Callithrix jacchus: one gene and its partners. The protein of the gene in region 1 binds, or shares a complex with, the protein of each later gene. Links are inferred from orthologs where the notes say so. Each region holds a gene or a part of one and is shown in the gene's direction. Other genes may lie near its edges. The genes, in order: TBL1X, ZER1, GPS2, CORO2A and ZYG11B.

The links.
Region 2: TBL1X (region 1) and ZER1 share a complex: the UniProt entries of both Homo sapiens proteins name them as parts of the E3 ubiquitin ligase complex. The link is inferred for Callithrix jacchus from reciprocal best matches to the Homo sapiens genes TBL1X and ZER1.
Region 3: TBL1X (region 1) and GPS2 share a complex: the UniProt entries of both Homo sapiens proteins name them as parts of the N-Cor repressor complex. The link is inferred for Callithrix jacchus from reciprocal best matches to the Homo sapiens genes TBL1X and GPS2.
Region 4: TBL1X (region 1) and CORO2A share a complex: the UniProt entries of both Homo sapiens proteins name them as parts of the N-Cor repressor complex. The link is inferred for Callithrix jacchus from reciprocal best matches to the Homo sapiens genes TBL1X and CORO2A.
Region 5: TBL1X (region 1) and ZYG11B share a complex: the UniProt entries of both Homo sapiens proteins name them as parts of the E3 ubiquitin ligase complex. The link is inferred for Callithrix jacchus from reciprocal best matches to the Homo sapiens genes TBL1X and ZYG11B.

The regions. Positions count from the first base shown.
Region 1 is NC_133524.1:9,683,057-9,687,135, forward strand, and holds the start of TBL1X (F-box-like/WD repeat-containing protein TBL1X), read left to right. Parts: upstream 1-1,272; 5' UTR 1,273-1,411; intron 1,412-1,893; exon of another isoform or gene 1,894-2,404; intron 2,405-4,079. UniProt on the Homo sapiens protein: F-box-like protein involved in the recruitment of the ubiquitin/19S proteasome complex to nuclear receptor-regulated transcription units. Plays an essential role in transcription activation mediated by nuclear receptors.
Region 2 is NC_133502.1:177,369,020-177,373,259, reverse strand, and holds the start of ZER1 (protein zer-1 homolog), read left to right. Parts: upstream 1-1,431; 5' UTR 1,432-1,544; exon of another isoform or gene 1,545-1,862; intron 1,863-4,240. UniProt on the Homo sapiens protein: Serves as substrate adapter subunit in the E3 ubiquitin ligase complex ZYG11B-CUL2-Elongin BC. Acts to target substrates bearing N-terminal degrons for proteasomal degradation with the first four residues of substrates being the key recognition elements.
Region 3 is NC_133506.1:73,797,805-73,801,813, reverse strand, and holds GPS2 (G protein pathway suppressor 2), read left to right. Parts: upstream 1-1,203; 5' UTR 1,204-1,261; intron 1,262-1,460; 5' UTR 1,461-1,514; coding exon 1,515-1,608; exon of another isoform or gene 1,609-1,738; intron 1,739-1,838; exon of another isoform or gene 1,839-1,970; coding exon 1,971-2,080; intron 2,081-2,164; coding exon 2,165-2,277; intron 2,278-2,409; coding exon 2,410-2,489; intron 2,490-2,580; coding exon 2,581-2,663; intron 2,664-2,834; coding exon 2,835-2,988; intron 2,989-3,081; coding exon 3,082-3,171; intron 3,172-3,257; coding exon 3,258-3,337; intron 3,338-3,401; coding exon 3,402-3,519; intron 3,520-3,699; coding exon 3,700-3,833; 3' UTR 3,834-3,879; downstream 3,880-4,009. Other genes in the region: NEURL4 (neuralized-like protein 4), read left to right, coding at 286-490. UniProt on the Homo sapiens protein: Key regulator of inflammation, lipid metabolism and mitochondrion homeostasis that acts by inhibiting the activity of the ubiquitin-conjugating enzyme UBE2N/Ubc13, thereby inhibiting 'Lys-63'-linked ubiquitination.
Region 4 is NC_133502.1:146,292,797-146,296,890, reverse strand, and holds the start of CORO2A (coronin-2A), read left to right. Parts: upstream 1-1,294; 5' UTR 1,295-1,525; coding exon 1,526-1,549; intron 1,550-4,094.
Region 5 is NC_133508.1:89,253,881-89,257,818, reverse strand, and holds the start of ZYG11B (protein zyg-11 homolog B), read left to right. Parts: upstream 1-1,131; 5' UTR 1,132-1,348; coding exon 1,349-1,351; exon of another isoform or gene 1,352-1,543; intron 1,544-3,938. UniProt on the Homo sapiens protein: Serves as substrate adapter subunit in the E3 ubiquitin ligase complex ZYG11B-CUL2-Elongin BC. Acts to target substrates bearing N-terminal degrons for proteasomal degradation with the first four residues of substrates being the key recognition elements.

The DNA.
Region 1 (4,079 bases):
AAGGGGCAAACTTATTTGAAAAATATTCAACAAGGCTGACCCAAGAGGTGCTGGGTAGGGGGAGCGGAGATCTGTTTAACTGAATTAAGGTCGCGAGTCGTGGGGAGTCGACATCAAGGTGGAGGGGAGGAAGGAGCGCTGGGGACTTGGGTGCACCAGGGCCAGGCAGTGTAAGCCGTTACGTCAAACACTTAGCAAGGGCCCGAGGGCTGAAGCCTAAGGTTGGGGGTGGGGGTGATGAAGCCCGCTGGCCCAGGTCCCCTAACCTCCTCCTCAGCCCCCACCCCTGAGCTCCGGCCACTCTGACGGGGTCTGAGTTTGTCCCTAAGCATTTCTGGCTCTTCCCGGGAGGTGTTTTGCAAAGGTGGAGGTTCCGCCGGAGTCCCCACTTCTTGAGGTGGGGAAAGATAACTGGGGTGTCTTTTAAAACGCCGATTTTGAGGTAGATACACCCTCGGGCAGGTGGCTGGGGTTCTGTCAGGGAAGCCGGGTTGCTTCCTTTTTGGGATGGGGGAGGGTAACACTTTAGCAGTGACCGAGGTTCCCCTGCCCGCTATAAACCGAGGGGGTGGCCGAGGTTCCTGTCCTCTCCAGGCAGTCGTGGAAAGGCTGGGTTTGGGATGGAATGAGGGTAAGCCTGGGTTCCTCTCAGTCCCACGGGGGCCACGGGGAAGGGACCGGGCCCCGGCAACTAGGGAGAGGCCCGGGTTCCCCTCACCCACCCTAGGCGTGGGGGAGCGGGGAGAGCTGGGTAGGGACGCTAGTCCCCCGACCCAGGGGCAAGGGCTGGGTTGGGACGCGGGTCTCCCACTAGGTTCAGTGGGGGAGGGGCGGGGCTGGAGTCCCTATCCTCGTGGGGGAGGGGCTGGCTCGGGACGCGGCCCCCCCGGGGCGCAGGGGCGGGGCCGGGTGGGACGCGGGGTCGCCTCCCACGGCCGCGAGGGAGGGGCCGGCGGCGGGGGCGGCCCCCTAGGCTGTCCTCCCAGCTGGAGTCCGCGCGCTCGCAGCCGCTCCCCGCGGAGGTCACTGCCCGAGCCAGTCCCTCTCGCCGTCCCGCTCCCTCCCGCCGTCCCGCCCTCTCCCGCCGCCGCCGCCGCCGCCGCCGCCGCGCCCGCCTCAGCGCCCCCACTCCGCGCTTGGGAGCGAGGAGCCGCCAGCGCCCCCGCCCCGCTGCCGCCGCCGCAGCTCTCTCCGGCCGCCATTCGCCACCGAAACTTTCCAGCGCCCGCGCCCTCTCAGGGACTCGGCGGCGGCGGGGCGGGGGCGGCCCAGGGGCGGCGCGCCGCTGCTCCAGGGCGCCGGGCCCTCTTCGGCCGCCACACGGCAGGGGCTCGGAGGCTGCCTGCTGGAGGGAGGTTCGGAGCGCAGACCGGCGCGCGGCGCCGCCACAAGTTGCGCTGCTCGCGGTGAGGTGAGTGCGCGGGGCTCGGCGGGCCGGGCGCTGGGTCCGCAAACTTCTGCGGGGAGGCGGGTTCCGTGCTGACCCTCGGGGGTCCTGCCGGAGGCTCGGGGAGCCCGACGCTCCTCCCGCCCCTGGAACTCCTGGAGGCGCAGGTCGCCAGCTGTCCCCGCGGCGCTCGGACTGGTGTGCGGCGCGCTCCCCGGAGACTGAACAATACCCCGAGGTGGCGGTTCCCCAAAGTGGGGGTAGGAGACGGAGGTCGGCTGGGGGCTCCTTTGTTTTGGGGAGGGGGAGGCGGCCGGTAAGTTTCGGGAAGCACTCCGCTTCTCCTATGGTGCCTCTTTGTCTGCCGATCCTTAGGCTTGCTGGGTTAACCTGCGCCACCGTGGGCTCCGGGGCCCGAGGTGGAGGGCGGTAGCGGGATTTCCCCCTGTTGGGGAGGGGAGCCCCATTCATCCCCGCTACGCGGGCCGGCCCGCCGGCACCCGGTTGGAAGCGCAGCTGCGCGGAGTGGGGCGAGTGGCTGGTGAGGAGGCGCGGGCTCCGCGTCTGCTCAGTTTCTGAAGCGCAGAAACTGTCAAGGAAGTCGGGAGTCCCTGTCCTCTGCCCATCTCCCCGGCCCGAGCGCACGACCGGGCTGGGGGCACCCCTGGCCCGTCGAGGGTCTGCAGAGCGCCGCCCGGGGAGAGCGCAGACCTGTTGCTGCTCCTGGGCTCTGGCGGGTCGGGTCGGGTGGGTCTCGCAGATCCGGAGCTCTAGCCTTGCTGCGGGGGACTTTATCTAAGGATGGGACCGGTGCTCGGAGTGCGGTATGGGGAGTGTGCCTTCGGGAGTCGGGGATGGCCGGATCTGTGACAACTGTGGGTCGCTGGAGCCCCGCTAGTGCGGGTAAAGGGCCTGGACTTCACGTGCATCGCCTGTGCGCGGTCATACTGGGGCCAGGGCTCGCTCGCTGCAAGGCCTCGTGTTTCCCCAGCCAGCTGCGTTGGACGTTCCACAAAGGTAGGGACCATCGTTTATTTTCGAGTCAGTCAGTGATGTTCTGGAGCAAAACCTAAAAAGAAACAGAAACCCACCCTCTATTGTATTTGCAACTGTTTCTGCTTTGCATTGTCATGTGTGGCTTGACCTGCCTTCTGGATGTTTTCCATCTCCTGACACGCCGCCGAATCCCTGGTTTAACCTGGAAGGCGACCTCCCTGCTAAGGTCCCGGGCCATGGCTTTGGTGTCGGAAAGTGGCTCTTGACCATTTTACGAAAAGTTTACAAGTCCTACCTAGAAAAGATGCAATTAGGAAAATAAAATCTAGAAAAATGTTGAGTATGACATGCTTATTTTAAAGGGTTGTCATGTCTCAGGTGTGCTGCAGATTTTTGTGGAAAGCCACCAAACTGCGTAACTCATACAAACAACGAAAGTTGTTCACCACTGGATCACCGGCTCTTAAGGCGATTCCAGCCCTTCGGAATACACACACCTGTAGGACTGACATGGAGATGTGTGGCGTAGTGCAGACACCCTCGCTTCCCCACCCGCAGGTATTTTGCCCCTTTACTGGACTCAGAGAACTTCTCCCTGCCAGTAGTTTAAAGAGGAAACAGTTTGCAAAAAATAATAACTTTATTGTAGACACACTTAGAAGTGAATGTTTCAAATTCTGGAGTTTTCCCATCAATTATATCAGTACCACTGGTTCTGTGCATCATTCTTAGTTAGAAGCTTTTTTTCACCTTTTAAGGTGATGAGCAGAGGCCATCTCCAGCAGGTCGTGAGTGTCAGGAATTCAGATTCTCTGATCCACTCCTGCTGGGTAAGAGAACACCTCCGTTAGAACCTGGGCCTGGCCCCTTCCCAGTTTTCTACAAAACTGCCTTGCAGCACTGTCCTGTGGGCCTCCAGGCCTAGCCGATCATCACAGCTTCTCTGCCCAGCCAGGCAAGACCATCCTTGCGCTGCTTTCCTGTTGCCTTGCTTTGCTTTTTATTCTCCCTTAGGAAAAACAAAAAGACCTAGTACGCTACATCCGAGAGGTTGTTAATCTTTCACTACCACATGCATTGACAAATCAGTTTCAGCCAGGAAGCAACACTAAAGGCATATTATAAACACTTTTTTTTTTAGTTGGAAAGATAAACTTTTTCCCCATAACTATTTTTAGTGAGAGGGAGGTAACTGACCTCTTGAGCAGGAGACTGCGCTCGAGTTTTTCCCACTGGTCTTGCCCCTCCACTCCCGCCCTCACTTTCTGTGGGGCTCGACCAAATGGACCACACTGGCCAGACTGGCAAACTTGAAACCTACCGGAACCCAAAGAAAGGCTGAATGTGGGAAGGGGCTGAAGGAGTCACAGGTTTCTAAAGAGCAAGCAGAGCCTAGGCTGTGAACAGGAGTTTCACATCTCCAGGGGAGAAAGGCAGCTGTTAAGGAGTCCACTCGGGCTGCTGCCTGCCTGGCCAGCGAGAGCCTGACTTCAGATGGATGTGCCACCCAAGCCGGCTTCCTTCCAGCGCGGCCATCCCCATCAAATGTTTACAGATAATCTACTGCATGCCTGAAGGTTGCAGAAGTGAATTGGAAGCTGTTAAAAATGGAATTGGAACAAATTTAAAGTTAAGATGAAAGAGAATATGTTGAGTTTTCAGAGGAAGTCGGGTACTGTTTCCTTTTCTTGCCGAG
Region 2 (4,240 bases), on another chromosome or scaffold:
GGAGGTAAGGGGAGCGAGTCAAGAGGCTGGAGAGGGAGAGGGAGCCCTGGGGGTGAGGATGGCCATAAAAGTCTTTGTCGTCTATGTCAGGTGTTATAAGCAAAGAGATGCCCGGATTAGATTTATGTTTTGGAAAAATCACTCTGGGACTGTGGGAATGTGGAGGGAATGAGGGGTGGGAGGAGGGCGTTGTTAGGAGGGCTGTTGTAGAAATCCAGAGAAGAGCTGCGGTGGCTCACACCTGTAATCCTAGCACTTTGGGAGGCCAAGGCGGGTGGATCATCTGAGGTCAGGAGTTCTAGCAGCCTGGCCAACACGGCAAACCTGTTTTACTAAAAATACGAAAATTAGCCGGGCACGATGGCAGGCGCCTAATCCCATCCACTCAAGAGGCTGAAGCAGGAAACTTACGTGAACCCGGGAGGTGGAGTTTGTAGTGAGCCGGCTCTGGCCATTGCACTCCAGCCCTGGCAACTAGAGCAAAACTCCATCTCGCAAAAAAAAAAAAAAAAAAGAGAGAGAGAGAGAAATCCAGACACTGAAATGATGGTGAACAGACATTGGCACTACTGAGGGAGGAGAGAGGGGCTGGTTCTTGTTTGTGTTTGAAACGGAGTCTCACTCTGTGGAGTGCAGTGTTGCGATCTGGGCTCACTGCCACCTCTGCCTCCTGGGTTCAAGCGATTCTCCTGCTTCAGTCTCCTGAGTAGTTGCGACTACAGGCGCGCACCAGCTCGGCTAATATTTGTAATTTTAGTAGAGATGGGGTTTCACCATGTTAGCCAGGCTGGTCTCGAATTCCTGACCTCAGGTGATCCGCCCGCCTCGGCCTCCCAAAGTGCTGGGATTACAGGCATGAGCCACGGGGCCCGGCCAGAAGGGGCTGGTTTGACAGGATCCTTAGGACTTGGAGACCGATTGAGGGGTCTGGGGCAATGCAAGGGCCGAGGTCGCCTCCCAACTTCCCATCCGGAAGCTCGGTTGCCTGGTGGCGCATGCCCTAGATGGAGGTGTAGGAGCACGTTTTGGGGGATGGTGATGACTGCGGCTGGACGCGCGAGTGTGAGCCACCTGTGAAGAACGCGAGAGATGTTCAGTAGGGCGCTGGATGGAAGGGGCTGGCGCCGAGTCAGTCCTGCCCTTCAGCAGTGCTGGGCTCAGATGAACCGCAGCTCTAGGGCGGGCACCAAACCTGGAATTCCACGAATGGGCCCCTCGGAGACCAGGGAAGGCCCTGGAGGACACGTGCTCTCGGCCGGCCTGAGGGCGCACCCCACTGCCCCCTTCACCCTCGGACTGCGCTGGGCCCGGGAGAGGAGCCTCCCACCGGGCCCCGGAACCTTCTGCCGCCGTCGCCCGCGTTGGCCGCGGGACGGCTCGGGGGAACCCGTTCGCTGTTGCTAAGGGGCGTCCCCGGAAGTGACGCACCCCAGGTTTGTTGACAGCGGAGGCGGCGGCGGCTGCAGGCTCGGAGCAGTAGGAGCCGGATCGGGGGAGGGGCCGGGCCCGGGAGCCTCAGCCCCGCCGGCAGCCCTAAGGGCAAGGTAACCGCCACGGGGTCCCCGTCGCGACCCCCTCCCGTCCGGAGCTCCCGTCCGCGGGATCCCAAGCTCCGCCCAGCCGACCCTCGTCTCCCCCGGACCCCGGCCCTAGCCTGACGAGCTCCCCAACCTCCTGAGGCGCTCTGGTCCCGGATTCTCCCGGGCTCCATTCTCCGCTCCTCCTCGCCTGCGAAGCATCACGTCCGCTTCCCAACGCTGAGGGCAGCCCCATCCCAGGGTAGGTCCTGGACCCCGGGCCAAGGGATGTACCTGCCTCCTGCCTACGGGGCCTAAGCATCGCCGCTGCAACCACTCTCTGAGGTCCGTCTCGGCCAGTGGTGGGAGGGCTTCCTTCTCTATCCCTGCCGCCGGGTCTGAAAATCGTGTCTTTAAAACTGGGCTCCCTTCCTCCAGAAAGAAAATGACGCTCTGTCGTTTGTCCCTGCAAGATGGGGGATCGGTGTAGGGCTGAAAGGGCGAGCCTCTGCCCCTCCTACCTGTTGGATGAGCTTAAGTTACCCCAGAGCAGTGCTTAAAAGCGAAGGGATGACTTGGATTCTGGATCAGCTCCCAAAAGGGATGACAAAATACAGGGAAATCCAACAGGGTGAGGTTGCAACCCGAGGGCCAAGGGAGCCCGACAGGTGAGTTAAAAGTGAAACTGACTGTACCGGCCACTATAGCTCTGTGGGTAGAACTTGTCTTGGCTGCTCTTTGACTGAAGGACCCCAAGATTTCCAGTCTTTGCCTGTGTTTGTCAGTCCATTCGTTTTGTTTTGTTTTTATTTTCTTTATTTATTTTTTAAAAAATAGAGATGGGGTCTCACTATGTTGCCCAGGGTGGTCTTGAACTCGGGGTCAAGGGATGTACCTGCATCCTCCTCCTTCGCCTCCTGCCTGCGGGGCCTGAGCATCGCCGCTGCAACCACTCTTCAGCCTTCCAAAATGCTGGAATTAATAGGCATGAGCCACTGCGCCTGACTAGTGCATTTGGTTTTTAAGGGGGTGGGGAATGTCCGATGTCTTGGGAAAATTCTCCGATGTATGATCTTTCCCACAGAATGTTTCTCTTCAGGCTTCACACTGGTTAGGATGAGCATGAAAGCACAGCTTTGAAAAGGGTCACAGGAGGCTATACTTAGAGCAGAAAGTGGTGGCCAGGGGTGAAGGGCCTCGCTACTTTGGTTCATTTGTTCATTCAGCAAATAATAAACATGATTTGTAGGGTGGTAATAAGTGCTTTGGAGAAAAAGAAGGAAGGACCATGGGAAGGGTCAGAGAGTGGGAGTTGTCTTTTTATAGAGGGTGTTCAAGGAAGGTCTCTGGTAAGGTGACCTTTGAGCAGAAATAAGTGAGTGAGAGAGCAATCCAGACAGCTCTCTGGTGTCAGAGCATTCCACAGCAAATGCAAAAGTCCTGTGGTCATATGCCTGGTGATTGGAAGAAACAGAAGGAGGGCCAGACACGGTGGCTCACACTTGTAATCCCAGCATTTTGGGAGGTCGAGGTGGGCAGATGACCTGAGGTCAGGAGTTCAAGACCAGCCTGGCCAACATGGTGAAACCTCATCACTACTAAAAGTACCAAAAAAAGTTAGCTGGCCATGGTGGCTCATGCCTGTAATCCCAACTACTCAGGAGGCTGAGGCAGGAGAATCACTTGAATCTGGGAGGTGGAGGTTGCAGTGAGGTGATATTGTGCCATTGCACTCCAGCCTGGGTGACAAGAGGGAGATTCCGTCTCAAAAAAAAAAAAAAGAGGCTGGATGTGAAGGCTCACACCTGTAATCCCTGCTCTTTGGGAGGCTGAGGCAGGTGGATCACCTGAGATCAGGAGTTCGAGACCAGCCTGGCCAACATGGTGAAACCCTGTCTCTACCAAAAATATAAAAAATTACCTGGGCCTGGTGGTGCACGCCTAATCCCAGCTACTCAGGAGTCTGAGACAGGAGAATTGCTTGAACCCAGGAGGTGGAGGTTGCAGTGAGCCGAGATCGCGCCATTGCAGTCCAGCCTGGGTAACAAGACAACAAGAGCAAAACTCCTTCTCAAAAGAGAAAAGAAAAGAAAAGAAACAGCAGGAGGACAAGGGACTGCAGCAGGTTGAAGGAGGGGAAGAATAGTTGGCAAGGAAGTCAGAGAACAGTGAGGACCAAATAACTGTGGAAGACATCAGGGCTGTCCTTGTGATACAGGGTCACAGGGTGTCTAATGGGACACCCTTTCAGAACTGTACTTGTTGAAGTGTCTGGTGGTTGGAGAAAACACAGATCTGTTTTAGATGACAAATGGCCATTGTGCTCTGGCCTTGGGTTGTAAGTACCCTTCTTCCATCTTTGTAATGACTATTGATGGAATAAATACAAAGAATCATGGTCACAGAGCACTGCGATTAAATCAAGTTATGCTGTTGCTTCCTGGTTGTGGTAATATGGGCACAGGACCTTTTTCCACCTTAGTCTTCTCATCTGGAAAATCGAGCAGGCTGATGCAGTGCTCACACCTGTAATCCCAGCATTTTGGGAGGCCAAGGCAGGTGGATTACCTGAGGTCAGGAATTTAAGACCAGCCTGGCCAAACACGGCAAAACCCCATCTCTATAAAAAAATACAAAAATTAACTGGGCATGGTGGCGCACACCTGTAATCCCAGCTACTCGGGAGGCTGAGGCAGGAGAGTCACTTGAACCCAAGTAGGCGG
Region 3 (4,009 bases), on another chromosome or scaffold:
TTGAGCCCAGGAGACAGAGGTTGCAGTGAGCTGAGATTGTGCCACTGCACTCCAGCCTGGAAGGTGGGAGACATTCGAGCAAAGGCTTGAAGAAGGAAGTAAAGGGTAGCTGAGCAGGCTTTGGGAGGAAGAGCATTTCAGGTAGAAAGAACAGCTAGAACGAAGTTCCCAAAAGGTGAGAGGATTTCCTAGGTAAAGCAAGGCTTGTGTGGTTGGAACAGACTTTGCAAGGGGAGAGGTGATGGGGTGAGAGGCTTCACTCCCCTATTTCTTCTTGTCTGACAGATTCCGGGACCCCAAATCCCAGCGGACGCACCAGGCTCAGGTGGCGTTCCAGGTGTGTGTGCGTCCTGGCTCCTACACCCCAGGACCCCCTTCCGCTGCCCTTGGAGAACCTTCTGACCCTCACTTCAGCCCAGCCGAACTTGAGTGGGTCACTAAGGAGAAGGGGGCCACACTCCTCTATGCTCTGCTGGTACGGGTGGAATGAGGGGTGAGACACCACTACTACAAGCACAGTCGGGCCTCAGGCCCATGGACTCCGAGTGGCGACTGCCTCCACCTCATTCCCGTGACTGTGGCATGCGCAGGTGCTGGGGCTCGGCGGCCGCTCAGGAGCATGTAGGCAGGCTCTCAGATGTAGGTGGGAAGCGGCACACTCCAGGTCCAGACGCCCAGCACTCCGTCTGAGGGGAGGAGCTGCGAGAGCCTAGCTCCAGGCCTTGGTACCCTTCTTCATGCACTGATTTGTGGAACATAACTCCCTATTACTCCCCTCCCCGACATCACTTAATTTATTTCAGTTTTTGTTACTGGTTACTGTGAATCCCAGAGGAGTCTCTACCTGTGCCCACATGAAGCTGCTTTTGCCGGGGCCACTGGGCGGGAGTGGGGAAGGGCGGGCGCACGGAAGACGGGGGCCTCTGTACAGTTGTTACTGACTCTGATTTCTAAGGAGCCAATAAACATCGTCTCAGAGCCTCCGCTTCAGCCTCTCTCTCACGCGCCCCTTTCCGGATCCTGCGTCCCCTGGGGTACTGCCAGGCGGGCCCGCGAAATTAAGAGAACTGAAGATGCCAAGGCAGTTGTGCGGCGACGGGGTTTGGACGCCGCGGGTACCCGTCGCATCGCGCTTCCGCCTTCTCCCACCCAATCAGTGAGATCGGCCGCCGCCGTGACTCCGGAAGGACTCGTCGGGCCACCGGATGTGACGTAGGGTCCAGGGCGCGCCGGAGCCGCGGAAAAAGCGCAGAGAAGGCTGGTAAGGAGGGTTGGCGTCCGGGCTGGCCAGGCAGGGAGCGGCAGCACCGAGCCGGGGACCCAGCGCCGCCCGCGCGCGTGCTGGAGCGGGGGCTGCGGGCTCGGCCGGGTGGCGGGCTCCCGGGACACGTGACCGGGGCGGCGAGCGGGTTTCCGCCTGAGCCGGGCGCGGGCCCCTCTGAGCGCCCGCCTCTCCGTAGGTCTCGTCTGAGGTCTGGCAGTGAGAGACAGAGCCGGGCGTCCACGGCAGCACCATGCCTGCACTTCTGGAGCGCCCCAAGCTTTCCAACGCCATGGCCAGGGCGCTGCACCGGCACATTATGATGGAACGGGAGCGCAAGAGGCAGGGTGAGCCGGGGCCATAGCGGAGGGCATACGGCCCAGAATGGCTCCTGTACCTCAGGGCTGGCCCCAACCCACCGGCCAACCTGCGCGCCCGCTGCCGAGCGCAGAGGAGGGAACGAACAGCTCTGTTGTGGTAGGATTTAAGCGTCCTAGTCCACTCTCCAGGACCCTTGAGCTGGGAAGGACCTTGGAGAGCACCTGATAAAGTCTCTCCATTCCATTCCCTATTGCAGCGTTGGGGAGCTTGTCCCCTCGAGGCAAAGAGCCCACAGGCGTGTTGGGATGACTGGGTTTTGCTGGTCTTCAATCTGTAACGTTGGAATTTTTACTACCCTGCCTCTTCCTCATTCTGCGTGATTCTCCAGAGGAAGAAGAGGTGGACAAGATGATGGAACAGAAGATGAAGGAAGAGCAAGAAAGAAGGAAGAAAAAGGAGATGGAAGAGAGAATGTCACTAGAGGAGACCAAGGAACAAGTAAGCAGTCCCTTGATCTCTCCAAGCTCTAAATTCTTCCCTTGACTCTCCCTGCCTTCATCTTCTCTCCCCACCCCATACCAGATTCTGAAGTTGCAGGAGAAGCTTTTGGCCCTACAGGAAGAAAAGCACCAGCTTTTCCTGCAGCTCAAGAAAGTTTTACATGAGGAAGAAAAACGGAGGCGAAAGGAACAAAGGTGGGATCAGAGTGATAAAAACCGAAATGGGGGCTAAGTGGAACTGGGATCAGATAGTAAGACAACCAGTGTTTTAACGACAAAAGAGAGAGTGTCTGTCCTTGACTTTGATCTGTTTTCCTTCCGCTCCAGTGACCTGACCACCCTGACATCAGCTGCATACCAGCAGAGCCTGACTGTTCACACAGGAACTCATCTCCTCAGCATGCAAGGTGAGGATTAAAAAAACTACCTGATAGAACCAGCCTTCTTTGAGGTTGCAGCCTACCATTTCAGCATCCTGCCGCCCTTCTCCCTTTCTAGGGAGCCCTGGAGGACACAATCGCCCAGGCACGCTTATGGCAGCTGACAGAGCCAAACAAATGTTTGGACCCCAAGTGCTTACGGTAAGAATAGGATTGGATGCCTAGTCCCAAATATCCTTGCCACCAGTATTCAAGTCACAGACATATCAAGCACTTAAATTTAGGGGGAAACAAGAGCATAAAGATATACACAAGTCACTGAGTTTCAGCTTTCATGGAGCTTGTAGGTGAGTTCTCATTCTCCCTCCTTAGACTCGGCACTATGTGGGCTCAGCAGCTGCTTTTGCGGGGACACCAGAGCATGGACAATTCCAAGGCAGTCCTGGTGGTGCCTATGGGACTGCTCAGCCCCCACCTCACTATGGGCCCACACAGCCAGCTTATAGTCCTAGTCAGCAGCTCAGAGGTGAGTCGTCGGAGGGATGGGGGCTTGGCTTTCCTCAGGGTCAAAAGAGGAATGCTATTGAGTAAAGGGTTAATAGCCGTGTCTCTTTCTCAGCTCCTTCAGCGTTCCCTGCAGTGCAGTACCTATCTCAGCCACAACCACAGCCCTATGCGGTACACGGCCACTTTCAGCCCACTCAGACAGGTGATAACATCCCATGCAGGACCTCTAGCTCTCTGGGTCCTCCCCTCCCTGTCTCATTGTTTCACATGCCCCTGCTCCCCACCTAGGTTTCCTCCAGCCTGGTGGTGCCCTGTCCTTGCAAAAGCAGATGGAACATGCTAACCAGCAGACGGGCTTCTCTGACTCAGTGAGTATGGCGCTTGGGAGGTCAGGGTTAAGGATATGTTAAGAGGAGCTTCAGTATGCGTCAGGCCCTGACTCTGTTCTCTGCAGTCCTCTCTGCGCCCCATGCACCCCCAGGCTCTGCATCCAGCCCCTGGACTCCTTGCTTCCCCCCAGCTCCCTGTGCAGATCCAACCAGCAGGAAAGGTAAGAATGGTAATAACCTTACCTGTCAGAATCCCTATCCCAGAAAAGCAGAATTAGGTAGGACAGGTGGCCCACATCATCTGGTTTTACCTTCCTCTTTGGGGGTGGTTATCAGTAAGGGTATTAGTGGAAGGGAAAGTATGCCCAGTGACAAAGCCCTCTTTTCATCACCACCGCCAGTCGGGCTTTGCAGCTACCAGCCAACCTGGCCCTCGGCTCCCCTTCATCCAACACAGCCAGAACCCGCGATTCTACCACAAGTGACCATCAGATTATTATCTTCAACACCATACCCCCCATCCTACTGTGGGTGAGGGTACCCCCTGTGTGTCCCAGGCCAATAAAATCTACCTGCCACTGCCCCTGGCTGCTGCTGTTTGTGTTGCCTCCCACCCAACTGTCTGGAATAGGTCAAGGCTGCTTGAAGGGTTGGGTTAGGCTGGCAGGTCTACAGCAAGTCAAAGTGATACAGATAGTGGGTTTCAATGAA
Region 4 (4,094 bases), on another chromosome or scaffold:
GCCACAGCCCCTCTTCCAGCCGCAGCCCCAATGCTGGCCTGCATTTGCCTAGACCAAGTCTCCCACCCCCCCACCCCGCTGAGCTGAAAGCTCCTAGCTCTATCTCCACACACCACACACGGCCAGGCGTGGCCTAGCACAGCACCTTCCACCCAGGTGCCTCCCCTTCCCTCCTCTGCTGGGCTTGCTCTACTTGACCTTGAAGGCTCAGCTCAACCGTGTCGTCCCAGAGGCCCACCCTGACTCCCCAGATTTCCATCTCCCTGCTGCAACTTGCGGCGCTGGCCTTAGCCCTGGTGACCCTGAATTGAGCTTGCTGGTTACATGGGGGCCTCCCCCATCCTCTGAGCTCCCCCGTAACTGACCCTGACCCTGTCTGGGTCCATCATGCATCTCCCTTACAGTGCCCAGCATGGCATCAGACTCACAGTGGGCACTGATGATGTCGGCTGAACTGACTCTGGGCCCCCGGTCCCTGAGGCAGGCAGAGTGAGGGCTGATTTGTGGGTCCATGCTGAGAACAGAATGCAGGGCCCTGGTTGGATGTCCGCCCCAGGACCAGAGTTGCAGAGCTTCAGCCCTGCCTTGGGCTGACTGTGGGACCCTAAGCAAGGCTTTCTCCCTCTCTGGGCCTCAGTGTCCTTCTCTGTCCAAAGACAGGCCCGAAAGCTCTGTGCCAGAAAGTGGACAGTGAGCAGGAAGTGGAGCCCAGATTTTCAGCCTCTGGAGGCGTCTTGGAAAATCCCCAGTGACCCTTGTCGCTCGAAACTCCCAGATAAGGAGATTGTGGGGCAATAAATCTGTGTGGAGTTTTGTCAGATCCTGATTTGGGGGGTTAAACAGGAAGAAGCTCTGCTGTGTCTTCAGAAGGCCTAGGCAGGAAGGAGACCAGCCTTCTGAGGACGGCTGACAGGTGGACAAGCTCTGCCGCCCTCGAGGTCCTGAGTGTGTCTGGCGTGTGCAGGCTGCAGCGCCCTCACAGATCATCCTAACAGGTGGGCAGGGCAGGGCTGTTACTATCATGTGGATAGAAACACAGAAAGCGGGAGAGGGGATGAGATTTGCCCAAGGTCATGGAGTGAATTGGTGTCAGAATTAGGATTATCGGCCAGGGCTCAGTGGCTCATACCTGTAATCTCAGCACTTTGAGAGGCAGAGGCGGGTGGATCACCTTAGGTCAGGAGTTCAAGATCAGCCTGGGCAACATGGTGAAACCCTGTCTCTACTAAAAGTACAAAAATTAGCTGGGTGTGGTGGTGCATGCCTGTAATCTCAGCTACTCGGGAGGCTGAGCAGGAGAATCACTTGAACCCCGGAGGCAGAGGTTGCGGTGAGCCAAGATTGCGCCATTGCACTCCAGCCTGGGTGACAGAGCAAGACTTTGTCTCAAAAAAAGAAAAAAACAAAGCAAAAAAAAAGAATTGGGATTCTCCAGCCTGACCAGCACACTGCTATGACAGTGATGGGCCCAGCCCGTTGGCTCCTAGCACCCCAAGGTGGAATTCGGAAGAAGCTGCTGGTTTGAATGGAAGCTCAAGCTGAGAGTCAGGTGGGCCTCCCCCTGGGTCCCCACAGGGCTGTACATGGGCGCAGCAGAAGGGGAGAACCATCTGGGGTTGACAGTCCTCGGGGTGTGTTGGTGGGGGAGGAAGGAAGAGAAGGAAAAAACACAGTGGGCAGGAAAGGAGGAGGGGAGGGGCACTTCCATGAGCCGAGCTCCTACGTTGTGCCAGACACATGCAAAGTCTTTTACGTACATGATCTAATTTAATCTTCTAGATTCTATGAGAAAAATATTAGGGTACTCTAATGCTATGGTACAGAGACAAACAGGGGTCCAGGGCTTGAAACTGGTGACTTCTTTTTCCCTGCCCTTGGCTACCTCCCCAAATGTCAGGATGGGACTGCATGGGATGGAGAGACTGCTCAGTCTGGGAGGCGGGGAGGCTCCCTGGAGGTGGTTCTGCTGGAGCTGGGCCAGGAAGGTGGGGTGAGAGGAAGGGGCATCCTAAGAGCCCCGCTAAGTGCCACCCAGCAACTTACCTGGGCTGGAGTAGTTCTAGGTGGAGGGAAGGGGCATGAGCAAAGATGGATTATCTGGGAAAACATGATGCTTCTTTATTTTCTTTTTGCTTCTCCCCTTCTCTTTTGAAAAATGTGATGCTTTGAGGGGAAAGCAGACAGACCAGTTCAGCTTAGAGAACAGGTCTGTGGAGATGAGAAGGAGATCAGGGACGCAGGGGGAATGTAGAGACCTCAAAACCCAAGTCCAGCAGAGGACTTTATCCTGAGGACAGAGGGGACCCGGGTGGGTTTCAACAGACGTCGGGAAGGGGCAGGGCCAGAGTTGAGGTCGGAATACTCTAGGCCTGAATCCCCAAGAGAGAAGGCTGCTCAGGCCTTGGCATGGCCTGGGAGAGGAGTAGAGAGCAGGTGGGGGCTGTGGGGGGCAGGGCTGGCTGGGGAGGAGGCAGGGCAGGAGGAGGAGGCCAGTCCAGGGACGGTGGCTCTGGGCAGTGTCAGATGTAGGGAGGAGGCACTCCCGCAGGCCTAATCTCATCAGGAAGAAAGAGGCCTTGTCTTGGCTCGCTCTCTGACTCAATCTGTACTTCCTGTGGGCCTGCAGGGAGGCATCTGTGCTGGACCAGAATGATGGGCAGCGCAGGGGCGGGGAAGGCGGAGACCTGAGGACAGGGCTGTTTGTGTTTGCCGGCTGCAGACCGCTTCTGCCTCCCTTGTTGATGGTCGAGCCCCAACAACCCTCACTCGTGAGAGTCCCTGGATGGCTGCACTCCTGCTTCCCTGCCTGGGCTGTGCTGATGGAGAAGAAGCAAAGGGTTTTTTCCCCTGCTCCTCCACCCCATCCCAGGCCCCTCAGCACCAGGGCAGGGTGGGGCCTTCTGACATCCACCCGGGAGAGCCCAGCCTGGAGAAGCACAAATGCACTCTCTTGGATTCTTCTCATCCAGCAGGGATTGTCAGCTAGCCTTCTGCATGTGTGTGTCTGTTCCCCATCATCATCGTGAGCGCCAGGGGTTGGAACTCTCACGAGCCACTCAGACCCTGGCAGCCTGCTTTATGCTTTCTGGTTTGGGATTTTTATTTAGATCCCCAAAATATTGGGCTCCCAGCATATACCTGGTTGTGTGTTAAATCACATCTCAGTGTCCTGTACACATTAGGACCACAACAATCTTACTAGTCAACGTCTGCTGAACACTACGTATGCACCAAGTGTGACTCCGCATGCTGTGTATAAGTGTCACCTCATGTAAGTGTCCAGGCACCCCTGTGAGAGTGTGGACCTGCGACTGAACAGCGTGGCCTGGATTCCAGCCCAGCCACTAACTAGCTGTGTGGTCTTAGGCAAGTTACATAACCTCTCTGTGCCCTGTTTCCTCATCTTAAAAATGGGGTGATGATAGTATTTGCATGAGGGTTGAGTTAGTACATAGAATATACTAAACACCTAATCAGCAATATAGGTGTTAGCTATTATTTGTATTTGTAGCTCCTGATTCTCCTAGTGAGGAAACAGACACATTAACTTGCCCAGAGTGGCAGAGAGGAAATGTTAGGGCGGTGCTGTCCGACAACTTTTTTCAGTGATGGGCGTGCTCTATAATTACTTATATGGCTTCATCTGTGAATATTAAGCACGTGTGGCTTTTGAGCTCTTAAAATGTTGCTAATGTGACTAAGGAGCTAGATTTTACACTTTATTTGATTTTAACTTTAATTTAGAAGTCTTGTGGGACTAGAGGTTCTGTGTTGCACAGGGCTGTTTACAGCCAAGATTCGAACCCTGACAGTCAAGCTCCAGAGCCTGGGCCACCTCTGTGCTCTCCTGCTTCTTTCTTGCATAAATCTTGTACAAAGGAAATTTAAAGACACATACAAAATTAAAGAGAAGATTCCAGTGAATCCTCATGTACCCCGACCCACCATCAGCAGCCTGTTTCATCTCTACTCCCTCATTTTCTCCTCCTCTGTTCAACAGCCCCAAGGTATTTTAAAATAAATCCTGGATGTTATACCATTTCATCTGTGAATATTAGGCATATGTCTCTAAAAGATAAAGACTCTTGTCTAAT
Region 5 (3,938 bases), on another chromosome or scaffold:
CTAAAAGATGAATAATTCACTTGTAGGTAAGGAAAGGAAGGCAGAAAGAGTGTCAAAGCAGAGATACAGATTAGTTGAAAGTCATGGTGAGTGCTGAGAACTGGTAGATGTTCTTTTTGGTTTGCTTCATTTTCCCGTGAATTGGAAGCAAAATCATCAGCTAAATGAGGATGAGGAAGGAAGTGTTGGAGGTTTTAAGAGACAGGAGACTTGAAATAGTTATGTAGCAAGGTGGGAGAGTGTGTGAAACTGGAGAAATGTGGTAGTGTAGCCACGAATGATGGCCCCTTGAGAATAATGATCTCAAATTTACCGGGAGTCAGTCAACCACTTTTGGCTTTTTCTTCACCCACTCCACTGCTGGACTTTCATCAGTACAAAGAAAGCAGAGAAAGACTGGATAAATGAAGGTAATACTGAAGAAATCGACTTCATGTACCTCATGTACTCATGTTCTTCCTGAAACAGCTTAGATGTTATTAGATTCCATTTCATGATGGACAATAGAATCTAAGCTGTTTCAGAAACATAGTGAGTACATGAGGACAGTATGGGGAAGAATAGCGAAAGGTAGCTGGATCAATGGATTTGGGGTCTTGGGGTTGAAGTTTTTGGAGTTGGAGTATTATCAGAGAGAGTGAACTAGAAAGGAAGAAGGTTGTGATGGGAGTTAGAGGATTAAAATTGAGATTGTAAAGGAGTTATTCGTTTGAGCATGAGAGTGAGGGGCTGAGCCAAGAATGATTCCTACAGAAGACTCTGAGAGGCCAGAAGATTGGAAGAATTAAGCGAATGTTGAAATCACCGAGAATTATGACAATAGTAGTAATGAATAACAGTGTACTAGAAGCCCAAATCTTAAAGAATGATGGTGAGTGACAGAGGGGTCTATAGGTGACGGAAGCGAGAGGTGCTGTAATCTCTTGTCATGATGTAATATTTAAAGCTCTTCATATTTTGAAGGGAAGCTAGGATTTGGGGGTGTGTGGCTCCTTTAAGAGCCGGAGAAGGGGAGAAGCTCGAGGTCGGGCTGGGGGGGCGGACCCCTCGGCTGAGTCTGCGTATTGAGAGTGGAGGCGGGGCCAAGCTCGGGCTCCCGCGCCTGGGCGGGTCCTCGCGGGGGCGGAGTCTGCACTCCGGTTCGGGCTGCGGCTGCGGCTGCGGCTTTGGTTGCTGCACTTCTACCTTTTGAGGGAAAGAGGCCGAGGCCTGGGCCAAGCCCGGAGCCGCCGCTCGCCGGAGCCTCCTGGAGCCTCCGCGCCGGCTCAGCCTGGGGGCGGGCTCCGGTCCGGCCCGCCGCCGCATCCAGGACGGAGGCTGCACGCCCGAGGACCAGGCCGGCGCAACCATGGTGAGGGAGCGAGGCCTGCCCTAGCCGCAGCCGCCTGCCACCCTAGCCCCCGCCTGCCGCGCTAGCCCCTGCAGGAATGCCCTCCCTGTCTCTGGTATCCTCTCGGCCTCTCTGTCTTTACCTCTCTCCCTCGTAACCTCCCTCTCGGTGTCCAGCTCCTCCTTCCCGGTGCTCCCTCATCCACCTGCTGGGGTGAGCCCCTTTTAGGTGACACCCCCTGAATCTCCCTTCTCCCCAATGACATCCTTTTTATCATCCCCAGTGACAGCCTTTTTCGCATTCCCTTTGTCGCCCACTCCTCGTCCTTTAACCCTAACCCTTCCTTCCTTTCTCCTCTATCATTTTGCCTTTTTTTCCTCTTATGGGATTTTTACTTTCCCTCCTTTCCTCGCTATTTTTGGCTGCTCTTTTTTGCTCTTCTTACCCCTCTTCACCATTTTATCTCCACTGCCCCCTCCTTCCGTGTTCCTTCTCCCCTTCGTCCTCTCCCATCCACGTTTCCTCTTCCCTTATCGGATGTCCTCGCTCGGCTCGCTTTCACAGCTGTCCCTATTTCCTTCTACGGGCTTCAGGGGTCTAAGCAGGAACAATTTGAGAACTGTTGCTTCCCGGGAGCTGCAGGCCGGACAGATAGGAATTTGTAGGCTCGCTTCTTCCTTTCCGTTTTTGGAGGCATTGAAGAGATCTTGGAATCCTATTACCTGGTGTCATTGCAAAACCGGAGTGGTGGTGTGTTAGAGCCACGAAGTGAGGGCCAGCATGCATACTGTGACCTTAGGAGAGAGCTAGTCTTTTGACGGAAATAGCTTAAAATTGTTTCGAATTTTTTTTTTGAGCATCTTTTAATGTGGAGGTACGGTTGGGGAAATTTTTAAATACTTATTTACAAGCTTGACTGTTATTAGCTAAAACAAATGATTTATGTTCATTTGGAGGCAGAGACCAAGGGCATTTGAGGACTGACAATCAGCTTGGCAGGTTGTGGTAGTCTCTTTAAACCTTCTAAAGAGTTCATTTGTTTTGCCCTCTCTGCCTTTAGTTGGGAGAACCTTATATTTGCAAATTTTCTTCTTTATGTTTGAAAACAGGTTGAGGCTTCAGTTGTTTTTTTTTCGTTGAGTTGGCTTATAAGTGGTTTGCTGTACATTAATTGAAAACATTGCTTCATCATATGCAACAAGCTAAACTTTGGTCTCTGGGAGGAATGAGACATTCTAGTCAAAACTAAGTCCTGATAATCATGTTTTCCTAGTTTGTTTTTTTTTCCCCTCCATCTGTTTTTTAGAAAAGTGATTTACTATAAAATTATTTAATCTGTGAATTTTCCCTAACTTGCTTCTGCATTTTTAGGCTGTAATTTTCCTGTCTCCTTCACTGTCATTGTATATTAACCTGTTCTCCCTGTGGAATGTAAGTTCTAGGTAGTAACCGTGCCTTACTTATTCCAAGTGCTTAGGCCAGCTAGGTGCTTAAATGAATCACTTTATATTCTCATTTCCCACCTGACTAGTATAAACTTAAACTGAAATTTTGAGGTAACTAGTGGACCACACAGAAAGAGTGAGTATGGGAATTGTTGTTTGGAGACGGTCTTGCTCTGTGGCCCAGGCTGGAGTGCAGTGGCATAATCATGGCTCTCTGCAACCTTGAACTCCTGGGCTCAAGTGATCTTCCCACCTCAGCCTCACAAGTGGCTGGTACCACAGGCACGGGCTACTGTGCCCTGCTAATTTGTAAAATTTTATGTAGAGATGGAGTCTCGCTGTGTTTCCCAGTCTGGTCTTGACCTCCTGGACTTAAGCCATCCTCCTACCTTGACCTCTAAAAGTGCTGCAATTACAGGCATGAACCATCATGCCTGGGCAGAGAATCTTAATTTTGGTGCAAAAATGATATTAGGTGAGGTATGATGATGTACTCTCCAGAATAAAAAGCCATCCTACCTAAGACATCACATTGCTAGATTTTTGAAAGTGTGGGTCCTTCCACTGAGAATGAATTTATGAAAGGGAGGAGTTACGAACTCCCCTTTTAGGTATTTAGGATCCCAAAGTGTCCTGGGATCCTAAATACCTGGGACTGAAAGATGAATAGGATTTGAATAGGATTTGTATAAACCATTTTGGGAAGGGGAAGAATGCTTCATTGTGAATGAGTAGCAAGTAGAAAGGATGCTCTCACAGGGATATTTTTTTTTTAAAAGAAAGAAAGTAGGAAGGAATTAGGATGCATTATAGGGAGTAGTATTACCCTTATATAGCATGGAAGGATGCAAGAATGAAGATGTGTAGTAGGAAATGAGACTAGGAAGATATTGTTTTAGCCCATTCAATCTATTGTAACAAAATACCGTAAACTAGGTAGGTTGTCAACAACAGAAATTATTTCTCAGGCTTCAAAGTCCAAGATCAATTCCCCAGATTTTTTTTTTTTTTTTGATATGGAGTTTTGCTCTTGTTACCCAGGCTGGAGTGTAATGGCGCGATCTTGGCTCACCGCAACCTCCGCCTCCTGAGTTCAGGCAATTCTCCTGCCTCAGCCTCCTGAGTAGCTGGGATTACAGGCACGCGCCACCATGCCCAGCTAA